Linked DNA regions of Oryzias latipes. The protein of the gene in region 2 binds, or shares a complex with, the protein of the main gene of each other region. Links are inferred from orthologs where the notes say so. Each region holds a gene or a part of one and is shown on either strand. Other genes may lie near its edges. The genes, in order: naa38, naa35 and naa30.

Region 1 (8,387 bases), on a different chromosome or scaffold from region 2:
TTGTTGGTCAGTTGTCCAATACAATTCACTACATGTCGCATGTTGTACTAAGTATAAAGATGTATGTGACACCGGACACTTCCTTGTGTTTTTTATTGTTTATTTTAGTGGTATTTATTTTCTGCCTCCATCTATCTATTCATCCATCCATCCATCCATCCATCCATCCATCAAGTTTCAAATACTAAAATACAATTTTTGAGGGTTGCAATAAAGACTCTTGTTCTGTTCATTTCCGGTGCAGACAGAGGGAAACCATCGTGTAAAGCACGGTGGTGGAAGGATGATGGTTTGGGTATGCTTTGCTAAGAAAGCTTGCACTCTGAGTTGATCTTAAGCGAATTAGTTAGTTCCACAATGTTCTAATCAGGTTCAGCCCACAGACCCATTCAGACGCCGCTGGTCTTTGACGGGCTGCACACAACCAAAACCACAAACGTCTCCATGAAAAGAAGACATCTGATGTGAAAAAGGGTGGACCGGAGGTGCTGCACACTGACAGAGACTGATGAAGTGAAACTACAGTCAACCACAACAGTGAAGCAGAAGACATCAATCAGTTTGGAAGTTCTTATTTTAGCCTAAATAAAGATTTGTGTCTTTTGGCTCACGTTAAGCTGGAAGTTTAGACTGATTTTAGTAAAGTATTAGCTTGATGGACGACCTTTAAATCACCTTCAGAATGCTCTAGAAGAGGAAGATGCTTCCAACTCACTGCTTTAATATGGCAGTAAAACCACTGTTCAGCATCTCTGAGCAGTTCCTACTGACCTGTAAGTTTAACCAGACACAGAGGAATTTTTTCACAAAGTTAAAAATGATTTGTAAAATCCCTCGGCTATTTTGGAAAAGTAGTTTTTAGATCCTTTATGGTGAAAAACAGATTTCTCCACAGACACTTTTTTATTTAAGTGTTGTGGAACAGAAGCCAATTTGGTCATTTTTTTCATCAGTCCATGAGTTAAATGGCAAACATCTAGATCATGAGCCTGAAACACACGGTAAGAACCTCCACCTCTGTGCTTCATAGTTGAAAAACCAAAGTGTATGTTTTATTTATTTATTTAGACTTTTTTTTTTTCCAAAAGTCGCATGGGAGTTTTTCAGATTAGGTTGTGCCTTATTTTTTTAATCCAAATTAGATGCTTTTTTAAATTCAATTTTTTGGTTAACATAACAAAAACTCAAATCAAATAAGTTTTCTTTCTACAGTGTAAAGGTCACTCTGCGTTTTATTTCACACTTTCAATATATTTATAAAAAGATTTCTTAATGTTCTTAATGGACAAAGACCTAATTTGTCCTAACCGTTGTTTTGTCATAACTACCAGGTAATTGTTTTGAGCCACCATAACCCGACCCGACCCCCCCCCCCCTAGCCAGGATTCCGACCTTGGTGGCCAATGGGCACAAAGCTCCCCTGTCACATAAAGTTAGGCTCAGCAGTGAAAACTGTGAAAGTCTGAATTAAAATTGTAGACGGAGGACTGAGAGCGAGACACGGAGCCCGTGATCTGACATGGGTAAATTCATGTGGTAAGTCACTCATAAACATGGATGTGAGCAATACTTGGATTTACAGCAGATACCTTCACATTTCTGACTGTATATATCTCAATACAAAGCATAGAAGACACAGAGGATGTTTAGAGATCCAATTTATTTATTTAAAAAAGCTCCACAAAAGCATCAATAATCCCGTTCATACACATCCCGGTACGCTCTCCCGACTGCCGCAAAAGCAGCTTTCCGCCGCTACATCTTTGTCTCTGTGACCTGCATTAATTCAAGAGGGGAAAATTAAAAACAAGAATCAAACTAGGGGATCCATTTATCACTGTTGAAAATAAGAGAAACATTGTAAGATTTAGGAGGGCCGAGCTTGTCGGCACGCCGACTTTCGGGCAGCTGGCTGGCCAGCAGGCGAAGCGTTGCTGCGGTATGTGGCGTTGCATTTTAGGGTCGAACAGGAATAATAATATCCATGACGTGCTGAGGTAACTTGTCTTTTAGTAACAGTTAGCAGTTACTTTACACCCGAAGGCTTCATGCTACTTATCCCATCATGCATCACACATATCCCATAACGCATCTCGACCAATCAACGTGTCACTGTAAGTGAGGTTGCTTTCAAATACAACAGGATAAATGTATATCTGAATTTTATTTTTTTGAGGCAAGTAATTATTATTATTTACCCATGTTAGCTCACAGGCTCCGTAGTGAGGAAAGAGAAACATAAACAGCTGTTATCGAAAAAACTGTTTTTTTTTAACGTTTAAAATTTACAATTTAGTTTTACAATGTTCAATACTTCTTACAGGTTTACAATGTGTACTTTGAGTTTAAAACTGTTGTCCAGTTATTCAATTTACAACGTCAGTTTTCTTCCAATTCACAATCTGGTTTTTTATTCATTTTAAGCTGATCCTAATTTAGCCCCATAGAAATGTTCAATCAATCAGTCAATCAATCAATCAATCAACTAATCTTTTCATTTTTTTATGTCTTCCATTGTTCCCTCCAGCGTCCCATAAAGCAACTAGTGAATCTAGTCATAAATGTAATTTTTCTGACCAAATCCCAAACTTTTCTTTATTTTTGTTTCAGGTCTGTTTATTTGTAAAATCAAGTAGTTTAAAACAAAAAGCCAAAAAGCTTGAAAATATCCCAACATAAACTTTTTAAAAATGCTAAATCTGTAAAGTTTTGTTAAATCTAGTTTTACATACCCATGTAATTTTACATATTCATTTCTACCTCTGGCACTTTATATTATTTTTATTCCTTGTTTATATGTTTGGATTAATGTCTGTTGTATATTTATATTTTTGTACGGTACCTGGCATTTATAATAACGTTTCTGGAGGGGGAAAAAATGTCAAATGCGACCTACTTCCGGTCCAGCTGGTCCGTCGGTAAATTTGTTCCGCAAGAAACAAGAAAAGGTTATGGCAACAATAATCGAGGAAAACGGTCCTTCGACTCGAGTATGTATTTGTCATGTTTTTGTGTAACGATATTTACATTTTTTTCATTACACTATTTTTTTTAAAAAAAGGAAGAAAACAAATGATAGATTAGAAAGTGATTATCGATACTTTAAGTAAGACGTTAGCCTGAAGCTAACAAAATAGCATTCTAAAAACGTGCCCTGCACAGCCATGATTATAAACAAACTAGCTACTTTGAATAAAATATGATAATTGCAATTCTTCTACAATTATTAATCGTGTTCATCGTTTTAAGATATTTTGTGATAATGTTGGCAGCAGTTCTTAGTCATTTGTGTGTGTACCTCCAGGGGCAGACCGAGGTTCCGCCTTCGTCTCAGGCCAGACAGAAGCTGGAGGGGCTCCTGAACAAGAACATGAGGATCCGCATGACGGACGGACGGACTTTGGTGGGGCTCTTCCTCTGCACGGACCGCGACTGCAACGTCATCCTCGGCTCTGCTCAGGAGTTCCTCAAATCTCCAGGTAACAAAACAAGAGGGAACCAGAGAAGACGTTATAGCTGGCCGGTTCTCCTCCACACAGAACATCGGGTTACATTTTATATTAACTGGTTATTCATCATAGTAGTAGGTTGAAAGGTTGCCATCTGGTTGGTTTTTAAAGTTGAAGACGTTTCACCTCTTATCCAAAAAGCTTAGTCAGTTCCCGAACAGAACGATGGAATCAACCCGGATGAATGAGAGTCTTCATAGACTTAACTAGTTATTACTACTCTTGTTTGTGGCTTTTCTATGTTGTTGTGGTGTCATTTGGAGATGAAATCCTCATCCCTGGTGTTTTCACAAGATGTTCAACAACGTTACATGGTTCTTCCACTAAAAAAAGTTTCAAAAACACAAACCAACATATTTAAAAAGTCTTGAAAAGGTCATAAAACCATTGACTGTATTTAGGACCTGGACTGAGTGAGTGTGATGTCATCCATAGAAAGCGCCTTACCTCCAGGTCCAACAAAATGGACTGGCGCCATTTTATTTGCGAAACGCCGCCATGTTGGAGCCATACGAGGTCAGTGAACGGTGATTTGTCCGAACCAATGGCAACCACTCTAACCAAACAGGAGTGAGCTTGTTGGAAGACCACACCCCATCCACGTGAAAGCAGGCTACACATCTGCCAAACATTTTGAACATTTGTTTTAAGACCACATGCTTTTATTGAGGCACCTGATTGGTCAGTTTATAACTTAAATAATTTGCGCTACAGAGAAAAAGATTAATAAGAACATGTTTAAAAAAAGGTAGCAGAGCAAGAATGGTAGTTCAGACTGAGTAATGGCTGTTTATTTCTCAGTTGAAGTTTATGGGAAGTTGAAGTTCAGCTTCTTGGAGCCAGCGGCTACTTCCTGTTTGGAACGTGAGGAGGGAGGGGTCACTCAGTCCAGTTCTCATATACAGTCAGATTTAGACCACCTTTAGCCACTGTACCAGGAGAAACGTTTTAGTGGAACATTCCTGAGTCGCGAAATGTTTTTTTTTTTTCTTTCTACCTTTAAAACTCGGACTCGTAGTTCTAGAGGCTGAGGTTTAAGGCGGTTTTCCCCCCTGAAAAGGAGCATTGATGCTACCATGTCCTCTTTCCTCAGACACGTTCTCTCAGGGTGAACCCAGAGTGCTGGGCCTGGCCATGATCCCCGGCCACCACGTGGTGTCCATCGAGGTGGAGGCCGACAGTCTAGAGGACGCTCACGGATTTGGAGCCATCTGCTGAGGAAGCCTGGGACATTTGCAGACTTCAACACCCATCATGCTTTGCTGCTGGACAGTTGGACCGCTGGTGTTGGTGGATCACAGAACGTTTGGATTCAGCCGTTCCCTCAAAGACTGACAGGAAGGTTCTGCCGGCTGCAGGAGTGGAGACAGACTGAGATTAAACGTCTCTGCCGGAGTGGTTTTAAAATAAAAGTTCTGTTTGAAGCTTTGGATTCCTGCAGAACCGTATGAGAAATGTGGACCATATTTAGGATTTTAAACTGATTATGATCACATTTTATTTTAGAAATTCTTTCAAAAGTGAAGCCAGCAATGTCTTCGTTTATTGCTGCCATTTTGGCTGACGTGTGACATCACAGAACTAGTCTTTTTTTCAAAATAAAAGTATATAGGCAGGACAAACAGGCTTTTTAGTTTTCAGTCAGAAGACTAACCTTTGCAATCTTTATGTTTATGAATAAAATGAAAATAAAACTTTACAGTTATGTATATTGTATCAAGTCAAACAAACGTTTTGGGAAGTGGACCAAATTTATTGGATTACTTTAAAAGCGAAGGCAGCGATGTCCGTTGCAAAACTGACATCACCAAACCCTAATCTTTTCAAAATAAAAGTACGTTTTGAATTGGTCAAAAAATCGTTCACGATTTTTAAGTTCATATGTAAAATTAGTATTTCAAAGTAAAAGTTTGAGTACATTATGGATATTGTAACCAGCAAAGAAGAGATGTTTTTTGAGCAAGACTAAATATTTTTGTTTTGAATTTATGCCTTAAACCTGAACTTCTTTTAGTTTCCTTAGTGAACTTCACCTTTTTCTAATTACTTTGGTTTTTTTAACCTGCTTCAACCCGGAAGTTGAATTTCTTCCCGTTTGTCTCAAGGGACTTCTAAAGATATAAAGATGCACATGCATGCATTAAGTTTTTCCTCTTTTTTTTTAATTAACTTTATTTAAAAAGGGACTAAACAAGAAAGAAAAACAAACGAATGAGGTAAAAGGAGTGCAAACGAATCATTTACATGTTTTATTACACTCAAAACATGTCAGCAGGTTCAGTTTGGCAACAGTAAATCGATGCCGTCAACAAATGAGACTTCATCTTTAAATACGGTCACATTAAAGTCCACACAGTAAGCCGTAGAACCAGTTCCATTTCTTAACCTGGTAAAAATAACTTAAAGTTGTGCAAACAGAAATAAAATGGAGATGGGGCGTAACATGGTTTTTCATGGCAGCACCTACAGCCGTCACGTTTTCTTTCCTCAAACTTCCGCCTTAAGTTTTCCGCCTTCGCATAAACATTCTCCGCGTCTTTGTGAAATACAGACGCCGCAGAAACTCGAGCTCCGGCTCTGCAGAACATCTGACTTGTTCTAATTATAAAGCAGTTTCTGGGATGGCAACCAAAGAGTCTTCAGGTTCTCTGAAGGACTTTTAAAAAGCTCCAACTTCTCTCCATTTGTGGACGTTTGGAGATTAAAGCCTTTGAACCTAAATATATTTGCAGCTTTTTTTTATTTTGATCATCTTTTTTTTGAAAGGCCAATGAGCTGCAGTTTAAAGCAGAAAACTGCAACGACAGAGTTCCATCCACAGGATTTCAACCTTCAGAAGTTTCACGTTTGAACCTCATCGTTTCTTTGGAAGCTCCTCAAAGTCTTTAAATAGAAAGAGGAGACTCCAAAATGTCACATTTGAGAAAAAAAGAATCCTAAGAGGCAAACCTGCCTGTAGACGATTCAAAAATGGCACAAAGTGCTTCAGTTTCCTGTAACCACCACCTTTAGGTTTCCTAGAGTCTTCCTCTGGATTCAGAGGAAGGTCCAGATTGAAGAAGAAGAAAAGTCAGAAGTTTTGAAACTGCACCAACGTAGATGAAGACGTCCTGAGGAGTCCGTCCCCAATCCACAAACCTCCTGGGGTCTAGTTGTACTCAAACTTGAAGTGGAAGCTGCCTCCAGAATCAAAGGGGTTGAAGTGGAAAGGCCACGGCCTCTGACCGCCGCCTCCGCCCTGCTGGTTCTCCGGGTCCAGAGGATCCTCGCCCGAGTCGAACTTCTGTCTCATTTCTGGAATCGGATGAAAGGAGGAACAAGAAAACATTGTATTCATAACACCGAAAACTTGTAATCAAACACGTGAAAAATGTCGAGTGACAGGCTCAGTCAAAGGCCCTCAACACCATTAGTCTAGCTTTTATTTTGACTTCAAAGACAAATACTTTTGTTGGCAAATTCTAAACCTTCATCCTGTTTCTGGTTCTTTTCAGTCGAGCTAAACTCCAGTTTCGCTTTAGTCCGGACGATTGAAAGGAAACAGAAGAGTGTGAATGACTGCTGACCGGGGTCGGTGAGGACCTCTTTGGCCGACGCGATGTCGATGAACTTCTTCTCCGCCTCCTTCTTCTCCGCCTCAGACTGGAAGTTGTCGGGGTGCCACTGCTGAGCCAGCTTCCTGTACGCTTTGATGACCTCCTGCTTGTTGGCGCTCCTGAGGACAGACGGGGATGTCAGGGAGAGTTTTTCCCTCCTGGAGGTGCCGCCGTGGGGCTTACCTGCTGACTCCGAGGATCTTGTAGTAGTCCCTCTTCTGAGAGACTTTCAGCAGCTTCTGCGCTCGCTCCAGACCCTCTTTGATGTCGTTGCTGTCGCCGTCGAACTCTCGCGCCTCCTGGTAATCCTCCACGGCTTCAGAGAAACAGAAGTGATCGTCTGAGTGATGGTGCAGAGATGGGACTCTTTTGTTTTTTCTGCTGAATTACCCTTCTCATAGTCCTGGTTGAGGATGTAGGCTTCTGCTCGGTCCCGCAGGATTTTGGCGTTGCGGGGGTCCCTCTGATGAGCCTCTGAACACACGTCGATGGCCTCGCTGACCAGGTTCAACTGGAAAAACATGAAAATATGGCTCTGAAATCCACAGGAATGCAGGGTGATTGTGTTTAAATCTTTACATTGAATAAATGTCATTGGGACCCAAAAGACAAAAATAAATAAAAAACCAAAAAAACAACCATCCCCGTCTGACAAACGCACCAACAGGTCGCTAAAGGCCGGTCAGTGGGAACCGAACCCTGACGCATCCATCTGGAAAAGGTTACAAGGTCATTTCTGCAGCCACCCACCATGGAACCAGTCCACTAAGAACCACAAAGTGTTAAAGATCTGAGAACGCCAAAATACCACGACTACAAGAGCAGATCAGCCGCTCATTTCCTCCAATCGGCATCAAGGCTAACCTCTATTCCTATTTTTTCAGTTCTATTCATGTCAATTTAGCTTAATTATTTTGGGTTCAGGGGTGGGGAGGGAGGGTTATTTTGTGTTTAACACCTTTTTTCATTTTTTAAAGCTTTTTGTTGTTTCTTTTTTTTTTAATTTAAAGATGATTTGCACTTTGTGTTACTTTTGTCATGAAGTGCTTTATAAATAAAGTTTGATTTGGTTTGAAGAGTTCACAATAAACACAATAAAACCGGTTGCAGGCTTCAACATCAGGACAAAATGAAACTAAATACATTGAGGGAGGTGTAATGCCCCCCCCTTAAAAATACAACAGCAAACATTTTGTCCCACAACTGAAAAAGAATAAATACGCCTCAATGCAACAAACACAGAGGTGGTACTATGATGATCCGGGTTGCTTTAAGGCTTGAT
Region 2 (7,645 bases):
ATTTCATCTCAAGTGACCTAAAAGTTCCACTATCTCAGTGTGAGATGTGTTCTGTGTTTCACGGAGAGCTAAGCTGCAGTCTCAGTTTGACTATGGAACCATTTAGAATTTGATTCCTGGAGAATTTATAGGGTCTGATTAGGCTGCTGTTTATTTTTTCATTTTCTTTTCTTTATTTTTTTGGCAACTGTTAATTGCTGCAACTTAAAATGAATACACAAGAAAAAAAAGTCACATTGTTTTTTTAATTCACAAGAAAATTGCTCTTGGGTTCTCCAGGGTCAAAGCTCCAATCCAACCCTTAGTCGTCTTTGGCATGGCTTAACTGTAGATTTGAACCACGTATAGAAATCTCAGGGCAGACACTCTACTACTACGCCACTGAGACTTTTTTTTAACATGTTTTTTAAGCCAGGTGTGTAACACAACAAATAAAAAGCGTGCATTCACAGGTGACAGGTGTGTTACCTTTGTTTCTTTCTTGTGGCCTCCAGCCAGAAGTTTCATAACTACAATGTTGGGCTTGGCTACCTTCAGTATGCGGTTCACCTGAGTGGAAATGGTACAAAATGTTAGCTTATTTTTTATCACTGTCACTACATTTAGAAAGCAATGAAAACACAAAGATTAAAGGATATAATCATTTATATAATCATATATTTTATTATTTAACTTTCGTATTCTTAACTTTTGTATTCTTAACATTGTGCATTCTTAATGTAGTGGGTGTCTGTATTTATTTTTATTGATTGGGCTAAGTCTGGAATACATTTCATCCATTTATTAAATAAACAAAATGTTTTATTTAAGATCTAAGGGTGATTGGTTGTTCTAAATACAGTGGATCACAGTGGATCTCACTGCATTGCAGATCGTTTTACCAGTGCAACTTTGCATGCTTTTTTTTCCCCACAGTGCACTGCATTCTGCGTCCTGATTGGTTGTTGACCTTGTCAATCAATCTCCCTGTGCCCTGTCTCTGAATGTTTTCAGCTTGTCAAATTTACATAAATGTTTGTTTTCATTCTTTAAAACTGAACTCATTTTCTATGAAACTTAGAAAGTTTAAGCGAGGTAGAAAAGTGCATAAAGTGAGTAGTGAGGAGCTTTACAGCCTTAAAACATCTGTCAGGGGGGGATTTTTAGCTCCGTGTGATCAATAAGAGAACACTGTAGAGCCATTCTTATTTTGATTTAAACTATTTAGATGTCTGGTCTTTGCTATTTTGTTCCAAAAATCTGTCTATAAGAGAGATATTACTTGTTCAAGTTATCCTATCCAGTCCAATTAAGGCTCATAAGCTGAAGAACTCATCATTGACTGAACTACTCTTCAGCCCGGTGGGGTTCATATAGAAAAGGTTGGTGTTTTAACAGTGAATGTAATTCATCCTGACCTCGGGGTCCGGGCTCAGCACATTTTCTAGTATGAGTTTGGCCTGTTGAAAGTGTTTGCTAGCTGCCAGGTAGAGATCTGCAGAGCCTGGAGGAGGATTGTACTTCTTCAGATCAGACATCTCCTGGAGAAAGAAACAAGAGAAAACTGGAAGTTGGCATCAGGTTGCAAATATACAAAGAAGGAAAAAGAAAAGAATGGGCACAATGGGGGGTACCTTGAACTGGATGTAGTGCACAGGCGGGGGGGTGACCACACTGTTGAAGGGGGCAAAGCGATGCTCGTAGCGAACTTGTTCACTGTCCAGTTCAAACTGAGGCTTGTGTACCTTCCCATCCATGTCCAAAGCTACCATGGTCTTAGAGGAGAGAATGAGGTGGGGGACAGAAGTCACACTTTATGCCTGTTTAAAGTTCCAATCCAACAATCTATTGATCGATTGCTGATCAGTGATCACTGAATACTACAAAATCAAAAACCCTGTGTCGTTTTCTAGGTTGCAGCCCCCTCCCCATTCCCCTCCCTGTTGCTGACAATTTAGAGCAGGGAGCTTGAAGCCCACATAACGTATTTTCTACGCCACAAATAAGCTTTTTTCTCCGTCTTTCTTTTGTCTGCTCCTGATTCACAACGATTTGAATAAAAGAATATACAGAAATGCAATTTTCGGCTCAATTTTCCTCATATATGTCCTCTATCGTCAGAGAAATACCACAAGAACATGTTAAAAATATCAAAAACACCATTTTCAAGATCAGGTTCTTTCCTACCTTGTACATGCCTGCACACATATTCTGGTACGCCTGACTCATGGTGATCTCCTTACTGAGAGGCCGAACTGTAAAACAAACAAAATGGGAACTTATCCCGAGCTAAACATCATTTCTGTGTGTTCCTGGTGTCTATATTTCTTTAAAGCAGTGGTCCTCAACCTTTTTCAGGCCGCAGATCGGTTTAATGTCAGGCAGACGGGTCCAAAGTTGGAGTGTAAAATTTTTCAGCTTCTAGTAAAAACCTATTTTTCACGTTAAAATGCCACTACAAGCAATTTTGTTTAAAATAATCTGAAAGCATCAGTAGATTTTATTTTGCCGATGTCAGAATTTGGTGAAGGAAAAGTCTTTGTAGAGGTTATTTCTGATTCTTTAAAATTTAATAAAAACAACAGTTTTATCCCCCCATAGAATGTCATAACATTAAGAACTTAAGGTCCAGTCATATCAGGTCATATTTCAGAGCAAAAATATTTTTTTAAATCTTGTTTTTGCATAGATCCTGATTTTTAACATTTTAACAAGAACATTTTCTGTGCTAAAGTTTCTAAACAGCTGCTTGACTTATTCACCCTTAATCTCCCTTTTACAAGTTTCCTCAGAAACTTCAGAAACTCAGATCAGAAACATCTTCAGCAGGTCGGCAACATTATTTGATTGAATCTTTATTCTCTGTAAAACGTTTGTGGCTGGTTTAAACTTAGACTTTGTGATGAAGATGAAGACAGCAAAGTCGATGCTAACAACCGAATGCAAAGTTTAGCAGTGACTGACTTTTAAGATGTTATGGACAAATGAGGCAAAATAAAATAACACAATCCTCATAAAACTGGTATTTTCTTAGTATAATCCTAAAGGTGAATCCACAGTGTCTGCATCTTTATTATCTGCACATGTGAAACATTTGAGAATCAGTCGCCGCCCATGAAGTACAGCAGCTTCTGGTACGTGGGAACAACTGTCTCATTAAATCCGTATTTGGAGAAAAACTCCTGGTTTTGTCTGTAAATAGCTTTGATTTTTCTTTGAAGTTGAAGATCCTTATTTGGTTTCCTCACTGGGTCTTTTCTCCAAAGAAACTTTCCAAATACGTTTTTATTGTTCATTTTCCATTAGCTTTGGGCTACTAACTTAGCAGTCTGCTAAAAGTCCCATGATGCATCAAGATAGTCAGATGTGATGAACAGAATCTGGTCGTTTTCCAAAAATAAAACTTCCTTCAGTATCAGAAAATAAACAAACTGAAATAATCGAAGTTACATCCTGGTACTCAGTGGCCTACAGACCGGTACCGGGACCACTGCTTTAGAGAATTTGGCACACCTTTCTTCTTCTTTTTGCTCTTTTTACTGCTGCGCCCTTTCAGCTGCTCCTCCAGGATTCGCTCCTCTGCCATCTGAGAAGAATCTGCTCTGCTCAGAGTGGACATTAGCCATGCGTACAGAAACTCTGAAAGGTACCTACAAGTGCAAAATGAGAGCAGATATAACATGGGCAGAGTTGGTGCTCTCTTTGTGCCAGAAGCAGTTTTTTTAGACCCATGGCCCTTACCAGTAGATGTAATAATACTCATGCATGCTGTAAAGCTCCAGTTCAAAGCCACTCAGCAGATACTGGATCATGATCCTTAAGTTATGATAGAGGATCCAAGTACCAAGACAGGCTAGGTGTTGTCGCTGAGGCTCGAGTTTCATTAGTAAGCTGTGCAATGCGGCGTCCACCTTCTCAGCCTGCAAGCAAAAACCAACTTCAGTGCAAAAAAATGATAGATATGAGAGACGGTACAACACAGGAATGTGGAGTGGTGCATAGGACAAATTTGCTCTTTGTTTTTCCACCTATTTGAGATTCAAACTGCATTTAAGCAATAAAAAAAGGGAAACTGTGTGGGGGTCGTGGATCAAAGGAAGCAGCTGAGGCTCACTTCATCCTGCAGCGTGGCAAACTCCTCGAGTATGTGCCCCAGCTTGTCTCTCTGCCGAGCTCGGTTGTGTCCATGGATCTGAATAAGGCTGCAGAAAGGCTGCTCGGACAAAGACAAATAAACATGCCATTACAGTTTGACTTTCAAAGATCTGGAAGTATTCTGTATACTTTTCTGTTCAAATGCACAAAACACCAAGAAATGAACAACTCTGATTTAAATGTCCGCACCGGAGAAGCATTTGAAGTCAAAACGCTGAACAAAAACACAAGACAAAGGGTAACGTACCCTAGAACAGTGTGTGACAAAGGAGTCGATGTAGTCCTTGGCCTGGTGGTTGTTGAACAAACAACATCTGCAGATGAAACACAGAATCAAGAAGCATTTAAAAAGATGTACTAAAACCAAAACTTACAGCTGTGAGCAACCAAAACATGGACGGATTCGGCTGAGGCACAGCTAAACCCGGCCTCTGAGCGGCACATGACAGGTGTGTCACCCAGCCTCATTATCACAACCCATAATAGCACAGTGGGTTTAAGCTGGCCTGCTGGCTCACCAGCCCACTGTGGGGCAGTGACATTATCACTAAAGCTGTGCGTGTTGCTGTTGTCTTACAAGTCTCTTTGTGTTCTGCCATGTTTCACATGTTTGCGGTGCTGCGTGCAGTGATCTAATGTTTATTTGGGCTCCACAGTCATTGCATGCAGTAGGAGCTTCACTGTTAAACTGCTCCAACATGGAAACCCTCGTCTTTGCACCTGGAATAGCTCTGTGGATATTCAATACATCAATCTAAATATTCCAGTCGGCTCAGTAGGAAAAACAATATTATCTTACTTGGCTACGGTTGTTGTATTTCTCTGACAATTAGTCTGCCTGTGTCTATTTTGAGCAAGGTTAAAGAGATCACATTCTGTGGGTGTAAGAAGGTTACTGAGAAAAAGGCCGATTAAAATTGTGTTTTTGGTGTTTTTAACATGCTCTTGAGGCATCATTTTGATGATGGAGGACATGTGTAAAATAATTCAAGCTTAAATCTGCATTTCTGAGTATTTCTTTGCTTAAATTGTTGTGAATCAGGAGCAGATGAAAGAAAAAAAAGCTAATTTGTGACATATGGGTCTGCCTGCTCTGAGCTCTCACCAACGGGGAGAGGAAGGGGGGGTGGGGCTTGCTCCACACCAACGTCCCGCGCACAACTCATAGGCTAATTTTTTAATGAACTACTGCTGCTCTGCAGAAACTATGTCCTAGAAAACAAAACAGGGTTTTTGATTTTGGCTAAAAACGGCAAAACCATAATCAAAAGACCTGTGGAAACTCTTTGACAATAGCTCAAAAGATGATACCTGATCAAATCAATGGTCAATAACAAAAATAACATCAAGGAACTTACTTGTTTGATAGGACAGGAGGGCTGACAAAGTATCTTAGAGCATCTTTAATCATGTCCTGCATGAGGTGGGTTCCAAACACTTTCTTGTTGTCGATGAGAAACGTCGTCTGAATTTGTTTAAGAGAAGACGGGGAAAAAGAACTGTTATGGCAAGCATTTTCAGATGGTTGAAGGGATGTATTTCCCCTTGAATACATCATCATAAAGCTGGATCACTTTCTCAAAACAAATCATATATGTGAATAAATTGCATTTATGGGAGTCAAATCCAAACGGTAGTCTACCTGGAGAAGGGACCGGGAGAGCACACAGGGGGACTGCTCACTGAATTCACAGAAGAAGTCCTGGTAAACACAGAGACTCTAGTCAGCGTGAGCAAACCTTTGCCACCAAATTGTATTTAGACACAACGTAAGAAAACACACAAATGTAAAAGAAGAAATGAACATATTCCTTCTTTAGGGTTACTGAAAGTTATGCATTCACCAGTATTCCGTGCAGGTTTGTGGTGTTGATAACGTCACACACAGTCTTAATACGCTCGATGAGTTTGCTGAAGTAGGCCACCATGTCTTCCCTCTTTATGATTTTGGCGTAGCGTGGAAAGGTGGGCGGCAGCAGCCGCTGGTTGACTAAGGGCTCAAAGCCCATCATGATAGGGTGGTCTGTAGAAGAGGACGGACAAAAAAACACAAGAATGAGCCAAAATAAAGCTAACGTTAATTTAAAAAAAAAAAAAAGTAAAGTTTTCAGAATAAAATTAAACCTCCCAAGTATTTATTTTCATTAAAAAATGGTGCAGGGAAGAAAATGTATGATGCTATTCTGACTTGGTTCAGTGTTTTAGTAGATCAGTGTGTTTTTTACCGCCTTTGGTGGTGTCGTTTTGGGACTGGATGCCATGTTGAATACTGGAATGAATGGAGGACAGCAGGTCAGCAGCCTGAGTCACAAGCTTCTGAGCCTCGTTTACTGAGCTGGTCTGATGAGGACGACAACAAAAAGGAAAAAAAAAACAAAAAACTAAAGTGTGTGTGTGTTAGGCATTGATAAACAATAACCTATACATTAAGGTGGAAAATATACAAGCTGTTGCATTTAAAAAAAATATTAAATTAGAGAAACAACTTATAGCTGGATTCAATTCTAAAATAGAAAAAACTCTTTCCTAACTGAACATTACCTCTTTTTTAGTGAAGGCGATCAGAGCCGACAGTAGGAGGCGTGTAAACTTGATTCGGTTGAATAGAGCCAGACAGTGCTGGTGCTGCACACGGAAAAACATTGGAGAGCTATTATTACGGGGCATGTTTCAAAGCTCCACAAGGAAGGAGGAGTTTTATTTTTGGTTTGACCACCCAGAGAAGTCTATTTCGGGGTCTACATTTTTTTCCTCTTAATACCATCAGGACTGCTGGAATTTCCCAGAGCAGAATCACTAAAGGTCATCGGAATCCCACACTCTGACAGGAACCACGGTAAACAAAACACAGCAGAGACCACGCTACATTTGGTATGGACTTCAGGGCAAGACTTTTGGAAAACAATAAACTAATCTGTGTAAAATAAACATGTTTCAGGTTTATCAAATATTATTCCAACTTTTAATATCTGACAAGAAAATCTACATCTGAAACATTCCACACACTTGGATAGGTAATCAACTCACCTCCAGCTCAACCTCTGGATTTCTCTGCTCACCCTGCCGACTGCGAGTGCTCTGCAGCAGCAGGAGATGTACAGGAAACATGAAGTACTGGAATACACATACAGCAAGAATTTGCAGTAGTAGCACATACCTTAACTTTCCTCTGTAACTCATCCTCCACATCTCTCAGCATACCTGTTAAAACATGTCACATAAGACAATGAGAGGGGATGATAAAAGCACTTTATATTCTCCCTCATCGACCGTTTCATTTTTAACAGGACTTGTACCTGTCACACGCAAGTCTGTCACATTATTGGCCATTTTGAAACCATACGTCATTGCTTGGAAATCCTCCTGAAGAAACAAATATGACAGACAACAGTAAGATTCTCTTTAAACACGTGTTCGTGTGTTTTATGAAAGTTCAGTGCAGTTGCATGCAAAGACTAAATCCATCTGCTCACCTCTTCAAACACAGCTGCCTTGTTAATTTTTTCCCGTG
Region 3 (8,211 bases), on a different chromosome or scaffold from region 2:
CGTATTTTCCGGACTATAAGTCGCACCGGAGTATAAGTCGCACCAGCCCAAAAATGCATTATAAAGTAGAAAAAAACACAGATAAGTCGCACTGGACTATAAGTCGCATTTTAACTTTCACAACCTTATATGACACAATCATAGCAGACTGTTTATCTAATAATTTCACAGTAATTTTTTCTCAAACGTATTTATTTATTCTTTTCATGAAGCATCATTGGCTAACTAATACTCTGTTTTCATCCTGTATTTGTAGAAACAGTTTTCACTTTTATTGCATTTCTGAATCTATGAAATCATTGGAAAATAGAATATTATGTTGTTAGCCTTCAAGATCTTACTGTATAAAAAAGTTTGCTGATTCTCTGAGTCACTTAACATACCTCATACATCAAATTGACCCAGGAACATCATCTCTGTTCCTCACAAATGAACATAACAGGAGGGTTAACAATGTATTTATTTCAATTTATTTCTAATATAAGTCGCTGCGGAGTATAAGTCGCACCCCTTGCCAAACTATGAAAAAAAGTGTGACTTATAGTCCGGAAAATACGGTAGTTCCTGATTGGTCAAAGTTCTAGTTGTTGAACTTTTGACAAGCGTTCGTGGCGACGCATTTTGTACGTAGAGCCTGAAGACGGACTTAAAAGCTTAAGGTAGCGACCCGTAAATGTGAATGTTTTGAATGCGGAAGCCCCATATATGCGTTTTTTCATTGAGTGTGATCGCTCAAAGGCATGTTTCCGGTCCCGGTGTGAAAGCAGCAGAAGACTCCCAGGTTTCAACGGCACTCATTTGACTGAGTTGATTGGTCCACACCAGAGTTCACGTTTAGATTTTTTTTAGGATCTTTCAAAGCTCACCTGAAGTGCCGTTAAGGGAATTCTAGTCCACCTGAAGCTGATACATAAACATTTACAGGCCAGATTATATTGGAGTGAATGGAAATAGATGCCAGCCCCTGGTGGGCATTTGAGGAACTGCAGCATTTTGGTACAGCTGGTGGAGGCATGATTTGAACTAAAAACCAGCAAAGGTAGGCACACACTTGAGGTAAACCCCTTCAGGCACTGCTGTGTCTTTGTGAGATTTGATGCTTTCTAAAAATTCAACATTTTCTCTCCTCTGTTCTGGAGAAAGGATTTAACTGTTCAGTCGAGCTTGAAAGATTAAGGGGACTCTTTTCAGAGTCTGTTACCTCATCACAGTCTCCCTCCACCATGGCATATATGGCCTTTTTCACCAGATTAGTACCTGGAAAAAGACACAGAGTCAGGAAACCTTGACAGAATAATCTATTTCAATGACTGATGCTGCGGCTCGTTCCAGTCTAAACAAAAAAAGTCAGCTTGTGTCTCCTGATGACGAAGAGTCGGTCAACACAAAATGCATTTTAGACATTAAGTCATGGATGGCAGAAAACTTCCTGCAGGTTAACCAGGACAAAACAGAGGTTTTAGTGATCGGTTCTGAAGACAAGAGAGAGATTGTTTTATCTAAACTAAAGACTTACAAAACTTTTCAGTGTGTGAGAAACCTGGGTGTTATTTTTGACTCAGAGATGAACTCAAGATTGATTTTGAAGTTCTTTTATTGGTTTATAAATGTTTTTATGGTCTCGGGCCTTCATATTTATCTAAAGTATGAGCCCTCACGGACCCCGAGGTCCTCTGATACCGGCCTTTTGGTTATCCCAAAAGTTAAACTAAAACATACGGCGAGGCCTCATTCAGTTTTTATGGACCTCGCCTGTGGAACAGCCTCCCAGAGAGCCTCAGGGCCGCAGAGACTGTTAATGTTTTTAAAAGGAGGGCTTAAGACTTACCTTTTTACTCTAGCTTTTAGTTGAATTTTATGAATTTATTTGATATTTTCATTATTTATTTTCTCCTTTTACTAGTTTTATATGTGTATGTATAAACATTTATTTATTTATTTGTATTTATTTATTTTTAATTTTTTTGTCACACTTACCATTTTATGTGTCTATTTAGGTGTTATGTAATTATTTGTTTCTTGTTCATCTTTTAAATATATCTTCATTTGATTCCTTTTATATTTTAGTGTTTTCCTCAGCGATCCTCCACATCAGTGACTGACCTTCTCAGTGAACGGGGTCGCTGCAGTGGGATCTCCCGGGTCTGACTCTTTCGATCGGATCTGGGGGGTTCTGCGGTAGTGGACTCCATGAACTTGGGTGGGGGGGTCACTGATGTGGACATGTCCCCAAAATATCGTTTCCCCATTTCAGGACAAAGCCAGGTCTCTACATTGCATCATTTTATCACTCTTTTTATCATGGTGTGTGTGTGTGTATGTCTGTGTGAGTGTGTGTGTGTGTGGGTGTGTCTGCGTGTGTGTGTGTGTGTGTGTGTGGGGGGGGGTTGGTTGGCATTGTTTGTCTTGTCATTTTGTTTTTAAAGTTTGATTATATTCTATGCAAAGCACTTTGAGTGACATGTGTTGAAAAAGTGCTATATTAATAAAGGTTGATTTGATTTGATAGTTTTTAAATAAAGCTCCTCTTGAAAGTCTGCCACAAAGGCAGAGCTTACCGATGCTTTTCCTTCTGTGCTTGGAGTCCACAGCCAGCATGGCGATGTAGCCGCGGCGAAACATCTTCTTATGCATGTCCAGTTTACAAACGATGGCTCCCACACACTCCTGCTCCACCATGGCCTGAGGACACACAAACATGCTGCCTTCAGGTCCTTCTAGCCCTGCGTGAAGGTTGAAGATCGGTCCGCTGCTAGCTAGCAGCACTTCTACAAAAAGTAGAGGCTGAAGTCTGCTATAACCCTTGTGCTATCCTAGGCACTTTACCATTGGGAGTTGGGTCATCTAGACCCACTAGACAGTGCTCTGAACCTTTTTTCTTCAATGATTTGTGATCCTCACTGGTGTCCAGAGATTACATGAAATCTTTCCACCTTTATCATGGTAGGGAGAACATGTCAATGTAAGGGTGGGGTCATCTAAGATAGCACAAGGGTCAAAGGTGAGGGATGCTTTGTAAAGTACACACATTCATATCTAAGAAAAACAAAACAAAAAAGATATTTTTTAGCTTTTTAACACTGGGGAAAGTCGCCGGCAACACCTGAATAACACACACTCTCTGACATAACGTTAACTCCTCAACCATTTACTCCATCAGTGCGACTCAGCCGCAGAAAAAAGGGGCTTTGTACAGACATGCAATACTTTACGACAGTAAACGTAATGTTTTGGCGCAGAGCTACTTTTCTCTGCCACAGAATCCACTGGAATGACGTTAATTGCAAAACCAGCTGAAGAGTTGCATGGAAAGACCGTCAACACTGGAGCTAGCGAGGGTTAAATAAAGCTGGAGGAAAATGCTGGGATCCACACACACACATCCCACTGCCTGTATATGAGAGCTGGACCGTCACTAGGGCTGCACGACACGAGGAAAACCCGCCATGTCCGATATTAGTGATCATCATTGCAAAGACTATATCACTTGCGATACATGAAAAGCTAAATAACTGATGCATCATTTCCAATTTGCTGTAACATTTTGTTTGAATCAAACTCACCATAACTTCAATTATTCTCCAAATGACCCACATAGGAAAGCGGCTTGTAGGTAACCATTTATGTCGTCTTTTGTTATAGGCGCATTGAGCTTACTGATGACTGAGACTGACCTGTTTATTTCTCTATAGAAGTCTATGAGATTTTGGCTTCTTGGAGTCAGCCGGAACTTCCTGTTTGGAACACCGGGGGGGGGGGGGGGGGGGGGGGGGGGGGGGTCACTCAGTCCAGTTCTTATATACAGACAATGGTTTGTACATCATTTCTATTGACTTCAATCCTATATGACTGTTGTTAGAAGACACTTTGATCCTGAATTTAAGACAACAAAAACCAACAAAGTTATTTGTTAAAAGGGACAAAACAAAGACAACCTCTGAGTCCTTTTAACACCATACCATATGAATAAAAACCTTTGAATGTTGTCAAAATGTGTTTACATTTAGATCAAGTTCATTTGAAAAACTTTATTTAAAACGCATCATACAACAGCAGAGATCTTTTCTGCTGCTTTTAAAACGGTGTGGAAAGAAAGCAACAACAAAAAATGGCCAAAAATGATCAATACCATATTTGATCAATTTTTAATGTTTAATAACAGTTGACAATAGTTTTACAGTTATCCCAGAAAGGGCATTAGTCAAAGAAAAAGTCTAGATCCCCTGTTTATCACTCACTGTGACTATTGTCTAGATGTATTTTTGCTTTTGTAACATTTTGAAGTGAAAGAGTTGTAGTAAATTAAGAGTTTTAGGGAGAACTCTAGCTGGTTGCTATAGTTTCATCAAATTAGGTAACTACCATTGTCAGATTATAGGCGTTTGTGCTGGGCACGTGACCATTTCAATCATCTGGAGCAAACAGATCATAACCAGACTTTCCAGGTGAGTGTTTGTAGTGGTCATGTGACCTGTGGCACGTGGGCAGCAGGCTGGTTTGGAGGTGTTTTTGGGTGGAGGGGGATCGGAGTTGGACTCACCAGAAAGCAGAGCTGCGGCCAGTTGTGGATGAAGTACCTGTAGGTGTAAATGGAGTAAGGCTCGGACAAGTCCTTCGTGATCAGTCTCATGATCCACGGCATCTGCAGCTCCGATTCGTAGCGCACGTAGCGGATGCCGTGGCTGTCCGGCCCGGGAGAGCCACTCAGGTCAAGCCGGGCTAGCTCGGCGGCGGGCGGATCCGAGGAGCTCTCCTCTCCGCCGGGCCCGGCAGCGTCCGGGGACTCGTGGCCTGGCGGTCTGGAGGGCTGCTTGTGTTTGTCGGCTCCGCGGGCCGCCTCGGACCTCGAGAAGTCCGGCATGCCGTTAAGGTGAGCGCCGTTCTCGGACACGGGGCCTTCGCGCTCCGCCGGCGCTCCATCGCCGCTGTCAGTGTCAGCGGGAGACCTCAGACTCTCGGGCCGGACGTCGGGCTCCTCGGAGGGGCTGACCACGCCGTTCAGCTGCTGCTCTCCGCTCTGAGGCTTGAGGTGCAGCACCGCCGGGCTAGTTTGAGTTAGCATACCTTTCTGCTTCCTCTTTACCGAGCGTTTAACGTCGTTCAACGGATGAGACTCGTCCCTCGTGCCGGCAGACACGCAGTCATTCGCGAGGCAGGGCGGCTGTCCGTCTTCCACCACCGGCTGCGCGCTTCTGTCCCCGGAGAAGGGATGACTGTCAGCCGGGGACGCAAGCAGAGCTTCACTAGGCCCGGGCGGCACTGTGGCCATCCCACTGCGTTAGAGCGGAGATCCACGCGGTGGACACGGGCTCATCAACGAAACCGAGCGGAACACCGGCAGTCGATTCGAAGTTCGGAGATTTTTTCCCGAATCCTCGGAGTCTGGAGCCAAAAGGTCCTCCGGTGAACACCACGGCTCTCTGCTGTCTGCTGCTCTACCTGCTGCCGTAAAGTGCCTGTCGCACCCAAAGGACGTTTTGCGACAGTGAGCTGCCATGACAGTTGTAGTTTTAGGAACAAGTGAAAATGTAGGTTAGAAATTGTGTAAAACACTAGTATATGCACAAAATTACAACCCATCAAGCACAAATAAAATATTTTGCTGACAAAAAATAAATAAACAATGAAACTAAAATAAATGGGGGGAAATATTTGACCTAAACCGCGTGCAACAACTCTACTATTCAGTTTCTATTTAACAATTTCATGCATTTCAAGACCTATTTAGTTTGGTGTCAAAAATGCAACACAACGACCGAGAAACAAGAGAAAAAAAGGTATTGAATCAGCACAAACCCATGAACACGCAGCAATACCCAGTTTGAGAACCCAAACAAAATCTAAGCTTTGTAAATTCATCCTTTTACCTGTAACAGTATTAGAAAATGATTCCTGCAGGAACTGTTTTACTTCTATGGTAAGCCCAACCTGACTTCCCATAATCCCTTTGTTTACACTCTCTCCTGCTAGCTCACAGCCCCTTACAACCCCAAGCTAACATTACCATTGAAAAAAAGATGGCGAGCAATATAAGAGCTTTCCAGCCGTACAGTTTTGAGCCAGATACCAGGTTGGACGAGGAAAACAAAGAAAACGGGGTACGTCACAGCTACAGGCTTTTTTTTAACGATTTTTTTGATTCATCACAATTTGAATAAAGAAATACTCAGAAAAGTAGTTTTAATCTTAATTTCCTGTTTATTTGTCCTCTATCATCAGAAAAAATGCCACAAGAACATGTTAAACAAACCAAAAAAACACGCGTTTCATTGCAGCAAGTCTTTAAAGGAAGATTAAATGATCCATGATAAAAACACAAAATTTAATATAAATCAGAGTGCAGTGTTTTAAATGGAAGTGGAAATCTATCAAAATATATAGTTTTTGGTTGCAGAAGGGTCAATAAACAAGACAGCAGTGGATGCAGTTTGTTTTTCCAGATAGAGTTTTTAATTATTTGCGGTGAGGTTTGAAGTGGGAGGTTTGGCTATGTTTTATTACTCAAAAGAGACTTGAGCTTATCATCTAGCCACCTTCCAAACCCACTTAACCCTCTAACATCAAAGCTTTTGCTCCAATGTTGATGTTTTTTCGACTACCGTTACTGTCCGACCTATTACCCAAATAACATAATTCCAGTGGATCCTGTCGGGAGAAAAGCGCGGTTATGCAACATTAAAGTAGGGTACACCCGGGATGGTCCGTCGGCTCATTGCAGACCCCAGAGCTTATTGTGGGTGGCATAACGCCCCAAACTATTTGTGCTACCTAATAGTTACCGGAGAGAAAGAAGAAAAATAATCAGCTTCCCACACATACATGGGAGTTTTGCAGAAATGGCTCCTGGGGGATAAGGTGGAGATCATAAGAACAGCTATCTATCAAAACAAAAATAATTGGATTGATGTCAGTAATACAACTTTAAAAGCAACGTTAGCTTACATCCAGTAATTTATCTTAAGCCTGTCTGAGATGAACCAACCTAATGTTGGCAACACAATGGAGCACAGGACCAGTCATGCAGCTAATGTGTTTCTTTGAACAACCTAAAACCTGTTTCCTTCTGCTGTTGATATTTTGGCCTAAAGGCCTGTTCACACCGGGACGAATTTCGCCGGCGATTTTCGCCGACGTTTAACGCCTCGTGACTAAACAAAGGGCACCAACGAGAGTGTGCACACCGACGCGAAAAAACGCCAGGCGTTAAAGCGTCAAAAAAAAAAAAACGCCTCGGGTTCGTTTTTTTTTTTTCGACGCGTCGCGTCGAAATCTACTCGACCAATGAGAACGGCGCTTTTGCTCACGTGTCTGGAGCTTCTGAAGTTACAGTAAAACACAACTTGGGGGCGCTCAAACACAAAACTGCCTTGCTGAGCACACATACCAGCGAAGAAGATAGACGCCAAGTAGCGTCTACACTGCCGCGAAGAAATAATGACGGACATTCTAAAATATCCCCGAACCAAGCACCAGTTGGAGCTACTGGTGCTTGAAATATTCATGTTTTCTTTGTTTGATTCTGACAAGCGTGTAAATACTTGCTCTCTTCTTCTGAGTGAAAAGCGACTTTCAGAAGCGTAAAGTTGCGCAGCGCCACCTTGTGTACAGGAGTATTTCTGTTTTACATTAAGCGCCATCTAATGTCAGGGAATGAAATTGCATGTTCACTCCACTCATCGTCAGCGAAAATCGCCTGGGTGTGAACACAAAAAACGTGGCGAAAAACGCTGGCGAATAACGCCTGGCGAATATTCGTCCCGGTGTGTACGGGCCTTAACAGTCAGACACAAGGAACTGTAGCCAGGCCAAACCCAGTCTGACTAATCACAGCCTGAATACTCCCACAGCAGACAATTAGCATCTTGCTTTCATGTGTAAAATGAGTGAGGCAAGAGGAGGGAGGAGTCTGTGTGAAGGAAACAGGCAGAGAAGAAAAGCCCAATTAAGAATTTGGGTGAGAAATGAACCATCTGCTGCTGAGTGATACGAGTTCTCCAGGAGAAATTAGCTCGGACTCGTAAGATAATGATTTTGGACAATCATCCTACTTTTTGTTTTAATAAAATGCCCGGATGCCTGTCCGTCAGTCCATAGAAAGACCAGATGCAGTTTGGGGCCTGTTGCGTTGTGTACTTGACTGTGTGTGCATGTGGCTTACCAAGGCTTTGAAAGCAATCAAAGCTGCTGCACACCATTTTTAAAGAGTCAGTA

The links.
Region 1: the proteins of naa35 (region 2) and naa38 are in contact, whole or in part, in a cryo-EM structure (PDB 7MX2), measured with the Homo sapiens proteins. The link is inferred for Oryzias latipes from reciprocal best matches to the Homo sapiens genes NAA35 and NAA38. Residues at the interface, in NP_001308810.1 of Homo sapiens: Val30, Asp31, Ile32, Thr33, Phe36, Ala39, Cys40, Leu43, Leu45, Glu47, Leu48, Leu49, His50, Asp51, Phe54, Glu58, Ala59, Ala62, Ile63, Glu64, Met65, Met66, Ala72, Gly73, Met74, Gln306, Arg307, Leu309, Pro310, Pro311; in NP_001307854.1 of Homo sapiens: Ala41, Arg42, Leu45, Glu46, Leu48, Leu49, Arg61, Phe67, Leu68, Cys69, Thr70, Asp71, Arg72, Cys74, Ile77, Arg97, Val98, Leu99, Gly100, Leu101, Ala102, Met103, Val104, Pro105, His108, Ser111, Ile112, Glu113, Val114.
Region 3: the proteins of naa35 (region 2) and naa30 are in contact, whole or in part, in a cryo-EM structure (PDB 7MX2), measured with the Homo sapiens proteins. The link is inferred for Oryzias latipes from reciprocal best matches to the Homo sapiens genes NAA35 and NAA30. Residues at the interface, in NP_001308810.1 of Homo sapiens: Leu45, Gly46, Leu48, Leu56, Ala59, Met60, Ala62, Glu64, Lys69, Glu121, Phe313, Pro314, Arg315, Ala444, Leu510, Glu511, Leu512, Glu517, Pro605, Lys606, Phe607, Glu608, Leu609, Asp610, Val614, Arg615, His618, Arg619; in NP_001011713.2 of Homo sapiens: Glu221, Pro238, Ser240, Tyr242, Thr243, Arg245, Tyr246, His249, Asn250, Lys304, Ile324, Glu334, Asn335, Leu336, Gly337, Val339, Arg340, Asp341, Lys342, Arg343, Phe345, Arg346, Tyr347, Tyr348, Leu349, Leu359, Trp360, Leu361, Arg362.

What each region holds. Positions count from the first base shown.
Region 1 is NC_019876.2:17,554,953-17,563,339, forward strand, and holds naa38 (N-alpha-acetyltransferase 38, NatC auxiliary subunit), read left to right. Parts: upstream 1-2,872; 5' UTR 2,873-2,885; coding exon 2,886-2,990; intron 2,991-3,304; coding exon 3,305-3,479; intron 3,480-4,602; coding exon 4,603-4,727; 3' UTR 4,728-5,218; downstream 5,219-8,387. Other genes in the region: dnaJ homolog subfamily C member 3, read right to left, coding at 6,658-6,803, 7,076-7,224, 7,289-7,421, 7,496-7,616.
Region 2 is NC_019867.2:10,970,213-10,977,857, reverse strand, and holds part of naa35 (N-alpha-acetyltransferase 35, NatC auxiliary subunit), read right to left. Parts: coding exon 7,608-7,645; intron 7,498-7,607; coding exon 7,431-7,497; intron 7,336-7,430; coding exon 7,292-7,335; intron 7,213-7,291; coding exon 7,162-7,212; intron 6,760-7,161; coding exon 6,676-6,759; intron 6,475-6,675; coding exon 6,360-6,474; intron 6,158-6,359; coding exon 5,979-6,157; intron 5,837-5,978; coding exon 5,777-5,836; intron 5,600-5,776; coding exon 5,493-5,599; intron 4,449-5,492; coding exon 4,382-4,448; intron 4,193-4,381; coding exon 4,094-4,192; intron 3,900-4,093; coding exon 3,721-3,899; intron 3,630-3,720; coding exon 3,493-3,629; intron 2,235-3,492; coding exon 2,167-2,234; intron 1,755-2,166; coding exon 1,614-1,754; intron 1,521-1,613; coding exon 1,398-1,520; intron 550-1,397; coding exon 469-549; intron 1-468. UniProt on the Homo sapiens protein: Auxillary component of the N-terminal acetyltransferase C (NatC) complex which catalyzes acetylation of N-terminal methionine residues. N-terminal acetylation protects proteins from ubiquitination and degradation by the N-end rule pathway.
Region 3 is NC_019882.2:10,205,344-10,213,554, reverse strand, and holds the start of naa30 (N-alpha-acetyltransferase 30), read right to left. Parts: upstream 5,597-8,211; 5' UTR 5,270-5,596; coding exon 4,541-5,269; intron 2,683-4,540; coding exon 2,559-2,682; intron 1,258-2,558; coding exon 1,202-1,257; intron 1-1,201. UniProt on the Homo sapiens protein: Catalytic subunit of the N-terminal acetyltransferase C (NatC) complex. Catalyzes acetylation of the N-terminal methionine residues of peptides beginning with Met-Leu-Ala and Met-Leu-Gly.